Rattus norvegicus: one gene and its partner. The protein of the gene in region 1 binds, or shares a complex with, the protein of each later gene. Links are inferred from orthologs where the notes say so. Each region holds a gene or a part of one and is shown in the gene's direction. Other genes may lie near its edges.

What was found.
Region 2: the proteins of Ctsk (region 1) and Cst3 are in contact, whole or in part, in a crystal structure (PDB 8V57), measured with the Mus musculus proteins. The link is inferred for Rattus norvegicus from reciprocal best matches to the Homo sapiens genes CTSK and CST3. Residues at the interface, in NP_031828.2 of Mus musculus: Asn132, Gln133, Gly134, Gln135, Cys136, Gly137, Cys139, Trp140, Glu173, Asn174, Tyr175, Cys177, Gly178, Gly179, Gly180, Tyr181, Met182, Ser248, Ala251, Ser252, Gln257, Phe258, Val274, Asn275, His276, Ala277, Ser297, Trp298, Ser301, Trp302; in NP_034106.2 of Mus musculus: Pro27, Arg28, Met29, Leu30, Gly31, Ala32, Pro33, Gln75, Leu76, Val77, Ala78, Val80, Asn81, Tyr122, Pro125, Trp126, Lys127, Thr133.

What each region holds. Positions count from the first base shown.
Region 1 is NC_086020.1:185,750,505-185,754,311, forward strand, and holds part of Ctsk (cathepsin K precursor), read left to right. Parts: intron 1-71; exon of another isoform or gene 72-1,429; intron 1,430-1,476; coding exon 1,477-1,695; intron 1,696-3,807. UniProt on the Homo sapiens protein: Thiol protease involved in osteoclastic bone resorption and may participate partially in the disorder of bone remodeling. Displays potent endoprotease activity against fibrinogen at acid pH. May play an important role in extracellular matrix degradation.
Region 2 is NC_086021.1:156,790,959-156,795,561, reverse strand, and holds the start of Cst3 (cystatin-C precursor), read left to right. Parts: upstream 1-1,624; 5' UTR 1,625-1,693; coding exon 1,694-1,918; intron 1,919-4,248; coding exon 4,249-4,362; coding exon of another isoform or gene 4,363-4,479; exon of another isoform or gene 4,480-4,603. UniProt on the Homo sapiens protein: As an inhibitor of cysteine proteinases, this protein is thought to serve an important physiological role as a local regulator of this enzyme activity.

The sequences.
Region 1 (3,807 bases):
TAAATATCTAAGAGAAAAATGAATTTTAAAAACATGAAAAAATGAACAGCCAGATATGACACCAACAGCAATGTTTTTTTAAAGTTGAGCCATTGATTTGCAACTGTTATTAAAATCAACTTTGCTTATAAAAAGCAAGATTTGTAATTCGATCGTGATTTGTTTGGATAACAGCTGAACTTTTACATTAAACATTACAAAGCCTCAACTAAGGGACAAGTAAAACACTCAGACTTGAGCTTGCACTTTCACAAGGGACAATGACGTCATATCAGTTCACATTAGTACCATGGTCCAGAACACTTTCCACTTCACTTCTATTTTGCCACTGCCCAGCGGGGCTCCTAGTGGGAGTTGGCATAGAGTCTGTTCTTGATGAAGACAACACTAGACAGATGCTGCCTGATGTCTGGGTAATGTTGAATGTGGCAAAACCAGCGAGACACATTAAGATATTTCTCCTTTTCTTGAACTCTCATCAACTATAAAGCGGTGGAACCCGTAGTACAGGAGGATGTCCGCCAGGGTAGTGTTATGTCCTGCAAGGTAGATTTTGTCTTCCAGATAGGAGTTGAGATCCTTCAGCAGAGTCTGGTGTCTTCTTTGTGGTGTGTCCATCTACTCGAGTGATCCTGAACTCTAACCACTGCTGAACTAGTGCCTTTTCTTCTGCAGTGCTCCCCAGCAAGTGCTCCCTGTTGGCTTGCTTGACCAGATGGGTTGCAATGGTGCTCAATCTCATTAGACTGGGGCCATTGTTTGACTGTAGGACTGGAACCTGTCATTCGCCCTGAGTGCTGTACTTATTCCCCGGCTTCAGTCCCAGACTCTTCTCTAGAAGCCTCAGCTCCAAGGCGGCCGCCATCTTCTGGCCCAGCTCCTGGGGGGGAGAAATTCTCATTCTTAAGAAGTAGAATCTCAGAAAGAGAAAGGTCTGCAATCCAGGAGAGCAAACGCTAATGGTAGCCGCACTTTCTGAGAGATTGCTGTGCGTAAGTCGCGTCTGCAGTTCTCATGTGAATGGAGTCTCTCGGGGCACACAGGAATCTCATTAACTTTAGTATCACTCACTTTCTTGTTCTTTTGAGGCAAGGTCTCTTGCCCAGGTTGGCCTCCAACTTAGTTTATGACTGAGTTTTTGGTCTCCGTTCTGTTGCCTCCACCACTTAAGTGATGGAGTTACATGTATGTACCACCAAGTCCAACTTACTCTCATTTTAAAGGTGAGGAGACTGAGGCCAAGTCAGGGTTAGAGTTTAGAAGGACTGTCTCCAGAGCTGTACTGTAAAGTCCCCACTATACGTCAGTTAAAGGAGTCAGTGGTCACAATTTTCATCAGCAGGGACAGTAACTGGGCTTTACAACAAAGAGCACTTGTGCCTGACATCATAAAGTGCATGAAGTCTTATCAGGGTAACAGAAAGACACACCCTCTGTGAAGGATGATGACTGACAGTTCCTCTGTATGTTTCTCAGGGCCAGTGTGGTTCCTGTTGGGCTTTCAGCTCTGCGGGTGCCCTGGAGGGCCAACTCAAGAAGAAAACTGGCAAACTCTTAGCTCTGAGTCCCCAGAATCTTGTGGACTGTGTGTCTGAGAACTATGGCTGTGGAGGCGGCTATATGACCACTGCCTTCCAATATGTGCAGCAGAATGGAGGCATTGACTCTGAAGACGCTTACCCGTATGTGGGGCAGGTGAGACCACCGCAGTGTGCAGCCCTATGCTGCGTCTTCCCCTGACATGGTTCTGTTTTCTCTTACTGTATCCTGCCCCCCCTTTTCCTTTTAATTTGAGACAGTATCTTACTATGTATCCCAAGCTAATCAGCTAGGTATCCTAGGCTGCCCCCCTTTTTTGAGAGAAGGTCTCAGGTAGCCCATATTGTCCTTGAACTCACTATGTAGCTGAAAACAACCCTGAATTTATCTTACCTCAACTTCCAAGTGCTGGGGTCACAGGCCTGGGTTCCAGACATGGCTGTCCTGCTTTCTTTCTTTTTTTTTTTTTTCTGTCCTGCTTTCTTTTTTTTTTTTTCTGTCCTGCTTTCTTAATAGAATTATTTGCTGTAGAAAGCCAAAATTCTCATCATCTTGGAAGACTTTGAGCCACCTCTTCAGCCCTGTGATGAAGAATTCCTGGTGATATGAACCTTTGAGAGAGGAGCTGCACGTTTCAGTGGTGAAAATGCAGTGTGAAAGTGTGCACTCAGTCAGTGGTGAGAATGTAGTGTGAAAGTGTGCACTCAGTCAGTGGTGAGAATGCAGTGTGAAAGTGTACACTCAGTGTGTTTTCCTAAAAGGGCAGCTGCTCGCTAATACTTAAGGAGATGTCACACGTACTGCCATACGTACCCAAACTAAGATTTCATAAAGTTTGTTAGTGTGTAACTGTATGAATGGTGTACGTGTGTGTCCAGGTGGGCTGTACCATAGCATGCGTGTGAAGTAGAGAAAACTCTGTGGACTCTCTCCTTTAGGTCCTGAGGACCAAACTCTAGTCATCAGGCTCATTTAGCTAAAGTCTTACCAGCTAAGCCACCTTGCCAGTACCCCCAACAGGATGCCCAGGTCTGCTTATCTGCGCAGCCTTTCTTCCCATGCCCCCGTGTGAGATGGAATCCAGGGGACATTACTTTGCAACATAGTCACCTGGGTGTGGAAGCGTGTGTATCTTTACATTCACTATGTAATGCCAAACTGTTGCCAGAAACTACTCCTGCCTGCCGTCTGTAAGAAATCCCCTGACACACAGTCACATCTTCATCAGTATTTCCCTGGTCATCTGTACTTCTTCTAAACTGATAATGAGGCCCAGTGTGGATGCCGGGAATTCCAGCACATGGGAGGTAGAGGTGGGAGGATTAGGAGTTCACAGTCACCCTAAGCTACCTGGGGAATCTGAATGTAGCCTCTCTGAACAGAGAATGGGATAAAACACCAAAACCCAAAATAGAAAATACAGACCCTCTAAGTAAAGTCTAATCTGCTCCCTGTTGATTTACTGACATTATTAAATATATTTCCCACTCAACAATTTAAGGATAGATTTGAGAAAAGTAATACCAAATTCACTTAACAAATGACAGCTTACGTCTTTTTAGAAGATTTTTTTATGTATATAAGGGTTTTGCCTGGCATGTATATATTATGTGTTTCCCTGGCGCCCCCAGAGGTTAGAAGGACATTCGATCCCCTGGAACTGTTGTCACAGATACCGTGTGGTGCTGGGAACCAAACCTGGGTTCTCAGCAAGAAATGGTACTTGTCAGGGCTGCCCTTCTAGCTCAGCTCACATGATTTATCCAACACTACACTGTTTGCTGAAAAATAGTTTCTATGTCCTGGTATGCGTGTGTGTGTGTGTGTGTGTGTGTGTGTGTGTGTGTGTGTGTGTGTGTGTGCCCATGATATTATTGTCCAGATTGGCCTGGACTCACAGAGATCCAGCTGCTCTCCCTTCTAAGTGGTGGGGTCAAAGTCCGCAACATGCCAGGCCCTGATTTTCTTTTAAGTCCATTCCTTTATTTCATTTGTGCCTTTCTCTCCCCAACCCCCCTTCTCTTTTGAGACCATGCAATGCCAAGGCTTACAGACTGCACTCCTCTTGTATCACGCTGAGATTGCAGCGATGTACCACTCTGTCTGGTTGATCTGAGCAGTCTAATACCAGAGTCATGGGGCAGAAAATGGACTTTGAGAAATTAAGGCAGTAAATCACTGTAACCTTAGACCGTCCCATCCACTGCTGGCAGCACTGTTGGTATTTAGAAATGTGTTCTTTTAGATACAACCATAGGGTGTTTGAGG
Region 2 (4,603 bases), on another chromosome or scaffold:
TAAGCACCTCAGCAGGACTTGGCTCTTTTCCTGGAGGAGTGGCCCATACCTTCATTCCTGATGGGTCTGCATCCTTTGCCATCCTGCTTGGATTAGCCTGTTGCAGTTTCCCATTGACTTTAATCATAGGACATGGTAGTACCAAGAGATGGCCTAAGGGATCTCCTTCACTCCAGAAATAATCCTTCTCACCTCCATTGTGGAGAGGCAATCCAATTTCCCCATGGTAATCCAGATTTATCACCCCTCCTAACACTGCTATTCCTTTCTTAGCCTGTTGGCTAAGAAATGACCAGGGGGGAGTCTGAGCTTCCAGTTCAATGGAATGTTTGTTGTGGCTCCTGGTAGGAGCACTCCCCGCTCTAGAACCAAAACTTCTAGGCCAGCAGAACCTAGAGTTGTGGGGACAAGAAGCAAAAATTTTCCTAGAGGATCAAGGATAGTCAAGTTGACAACCAGGAATAGCTACTACAATAGGTTAAATAAAACTTATTAAAGTATTCAATGCTTGGATTTTGGTGTAACTGGTTTGTTTGTTTGTTTGTTTGTTTGTTTTGGTGTCAAGTGCCTTTTTATTTCTTTATTTTATTGGATGATTTTATTTACATTTCAAATGTGACCCCCATTCCCGGTTTCCTGTCCGTAAACCCACGATACCATCCCTCCTCCCCCGTCTTGTATGAGGGTGTTCTCCCACCCAACCACCCACCCCTTCCCTCCTCCCTTCCCTGAACAGGGTCTCACTGTGTAGCCCTTGCTGGCATGGAACTCCAGATGTAGACCAAGCCGGGCTTGAACTAACACAGATCTACCTGTTTCTGCCTCCCAAGTGCTGGAATTCAAGCCATGAGCCACCACACCCAGCCTCATATTGTAGTTTTAAACCTATTAGAAAGCATTAAAAAACACATGGGTTCGCCTTACATCATTATACTGGGCAGCCTATTGTAATATCCATTCAGGGCTTGGCCACCTGTGGTGTCTCCAGTGCCTACGGTGGGCTGGTTCAGAAAGAAGCCTAGGATGGTTTCTTTAAGGATAAGGAGTAGTTACACAGAATGCCACACACCTCCCCGCTCCCCAAGATCAATTCATTTTCCTTTAATAAGTATCTTAGGACCAGGCCTGCAGGAAACTGAAATAACAGCCCTGCTCAGAGTGATCCTGCTCTCTATCAAGTGATCAAAGCTGAACTCTGAAGATCTGGGAAATCAAAGACTGGCTGCCCTTTTCCTTTCTGGAGAAACAGAGTTCGGATGTCATGGACATTTTAGGGTCCGGAGAGCAATGACTTCTCTGTTGAAACCAGACTGCAAGAAACAGGGAACTGAAGAGTGAAAGGGGAAGCTGTGGAAGAACGGCCTGAAGAAAAGGAACTGGGAAGAACAGAAAGCTAAAAGTGAAGAAGGAAGGAAAAGCCAGGAAGGGGGGAGGCTCAGCGGGAGATGGGCGAGGGAGTGGTAATGGGAGCTATCTGACTTGGGCAAAAGCAGACTAGAAGCTGACAGAAGACAGAGGGCGGGGCAGTTCGGAGGAGGAGGCGGGGCCAGGAGTAGGGCTAGAGGGCAGACGGAAAAGGGAGGGTGGCCGCCGGAAAAGGAGGAGCCAAGAGAGGAGGGCTGGTCTCTATCTCTCACAATTGGGTAAAAGCCGCGCTGTCCTCTCCTCTGCACCGACTCTGTCCTGCGGAACCATGGCCAGCCCGCTGCGCTCCTTGATGCTACTGCTGGCCGTCCTGGCCGTGGCCTGGGCCGGAACCTCCAGGCCACCCCCGCGATTGTTGGGAGCTCCGCAGGAGGCAGATGCCAGCGAGGAGGGCGTGCAGCGAGCGTTGGACTTCGCCGTAAGCGAGTACAACAAGGGCAGCAACGATGCGTACCACAGCCGCGCCATACAGGTGGTGAGAGCTCGTAAGCAGGTACGTGTCCCCGCTGTTCCCTGCTCTCCAGAAGTCTCCAAACCGCTTCCACCCAGGCTCCCCTGGCTAGGGCGCGGTTTGCAACTGCAGGGACTTAGTCAACTGCTTTGCTTCTCTTGGGAGCGTGGTCCTTCCCTTCTTCTCAACCCTCCTCAATGTGTTAACAGGGTCATTCCTCTTTTGTTTATATTGGAACCCAGAAGAGCACAACGTGTGGGTACCTGTCCTCCTAGCTCTATTTCCAAAAGACCACTGAGCGAGCGGGGTACTAAAAGATGTAGGTCAGAGGCTGCCTGGGTTCAGTTCGCCACCATTATCCACCTGGGGTCAATGTCAACTGCTAATGACCTGGGAGAAGGATAAATAATTCTCATTGAATAAGCGCCCTACTTGAAACTTTCTGACAGACAGGCAGATTTCGTCCCATCCTTCCAGTAAATACTTGGCCCTGTTTGTTCCCACCTCTTTGCTCTACTCAGGAGCATATGTACCTGGGTGGGTGTTTAGAGTCACTCATTCTTGTGAATACTTTCAGAGTAAACACTTCCCGAAAACAAGGGCATTCTCTACATACCAAAGATTCCATTTGGAAAATTGGGAATCCACAGATACTCAGTTCCTAAACTCAAAGCCTCACTTAGTTTGCTGGTCACCATTGTGGACTCTCCTAGCAAGAGCTATTTCTATGCGGTCTGGCAGCCTGGTTGTTTTGTTTTGTTATGTTTTTTCTGAGCACTGCCTGCGCTGCCTTGCTGTTCTTAGCAATGTGGAATGGTCCAGACAGCTGTGGTGATCAGTCCTCTGCCACTTGCTGAGGTTCCTTTTAGTCATGACTCGGTTTGTGACAGGGTGGTCCTCAAAGGTAAATGACCCTGTGATGGATACTGCAGCCATATTGGCTTCTACCTGTGCTTTTTGATTCTCCACAGTGTTCCCAGGGCACATTTCTCAGAAGGGGCCCCTATCCTTAAGAGACACGTGATTGTAGACTGGCACTGAGTCTCTTGACTCTAATGTTGGTGCAGGTCACCAAGCAGGTCCCCTCTTGAGTCTTCTCTGAGGTTCTGTCTAGCTTCCCGCTAGTTGTGACCCTGGAAAGTCCTTGGGAGCAGCCTCAGGGGCTTTGCTAATTGCCCCCAAGATAAGCACAAATCACCCTCCTCCCACTGAGTAGAAGGAGACTACCTTAGATCTAGACTCTGACAGAGGAACTAGCAGCCAGAGCTCATAGGTCTCAAAGTTGACCCAAGAGAGGGCCAGATTTTAGACCACAAAGGGTTGTATCCCAGTGGATAAAATTCATTTCTACCTTCCCTTAAAAATACAAAGAAGTTAAATCCTGCTCTATTTCTGCTGCTGCTGTGATCAACCTTCAGAAAAGTCATCTACTTCCCAGCTGCCTTGGACCTCAATGGCCAGTGCACCTCTTAATTGTGGCAACAGATGGAGCAAAGTGTAGGGAGTTATAGGTTATTGGGTCTGTGGGTCTCGTTTGACTGGTAGGAAAATCAGGACATTCCCCAAATCAAGAGCTATGTTTCTGGTCCCACAGGGCAATACACAGAGCCCTGCCCATACCTCCCACCTAGGTCCCTCAGTCTGCAGTCTGTCCTTACATTTCTGACAAGTTGGTCTAGCATGCCCCATTCTGGGGAGAGGGACAAGTGCTATTCTTAAATTGCAAGTGGAAGACCTACAGGTGAATGATATGCTTGAGGAAATTCTGGAGAATCTTACTGAAGGACAAGACATTTAAGGGCTGTCTTTCCTCTGACTTGAAACATCCCTGTGTGTGAAGCATCCCATGTCCTCTTGTCCCTGGAAGGAGGGAGTCTTGGGTAAATAAATGTGTTCTCTCCAGGTTGCACAATAAATGGAGAAGGTCTGGCTCTCCTCCAGTGGCAGTGTCTAAGCCTGAGGAATGACAGTCAGCAGGACTGAGTTAATCCCGTGCTGCCCCCAAAGCCTTTGCTTATGCTCAGAACAATCCTAGGCTCCTAGAACGCCCTGGCTGTCTTTCCCCTGATGCTTTCCTTTCTGACTCTCTGAAAGGTTTGTCAGTCTGAGCTTTTGCCTTTTGTGCTCTGTTTCTCCTCTTACTCAACTACATGTGATACCCTTGTCAGAGTTGCTCAAAATAAAAGAATTACTAACAGCCTGAGGCCACGTGTCTGGAAGATTTGGCTTGTATTCTCTGTGGGTGAGATTTCTGGCTGCTTGTGAATCCAGGCATAAGTCCTAGGTAAACACTTCAGGTCTGCGATGGAAGGCAGCTAGCTGTGTGTAAATGATTTGACTGGACTGTTGAATCCTACTCTTTTTCACTGTAGCTTGTGGCTGGAATAAACTATTATTTGGATGTGGAGATGGGCCGAACTACATGTACCAAGTCCCAGACAAATTTGACTAACTGTCCTTTCCACGACCAGCCCCATCTGATGAGGGTATGTACTTGTTATTGTCCTAAGGGCAATCATACGGGCAACGGTTTTGATAAGTATTACATTGTGTGGGGGAAGTGCATGAGTAGGGAATGGTGGTTCATGAATGGATACAGGTGAATGTTGGGCACATGTATGTTCATGCCAATGCAATGTGTGTGCCCATGTAGGGGAAGGGTTTATGTACACATGATTAATTTAATTGCCAAATGAATTTATCCTGGGAATTGGGGTATTGATGTAC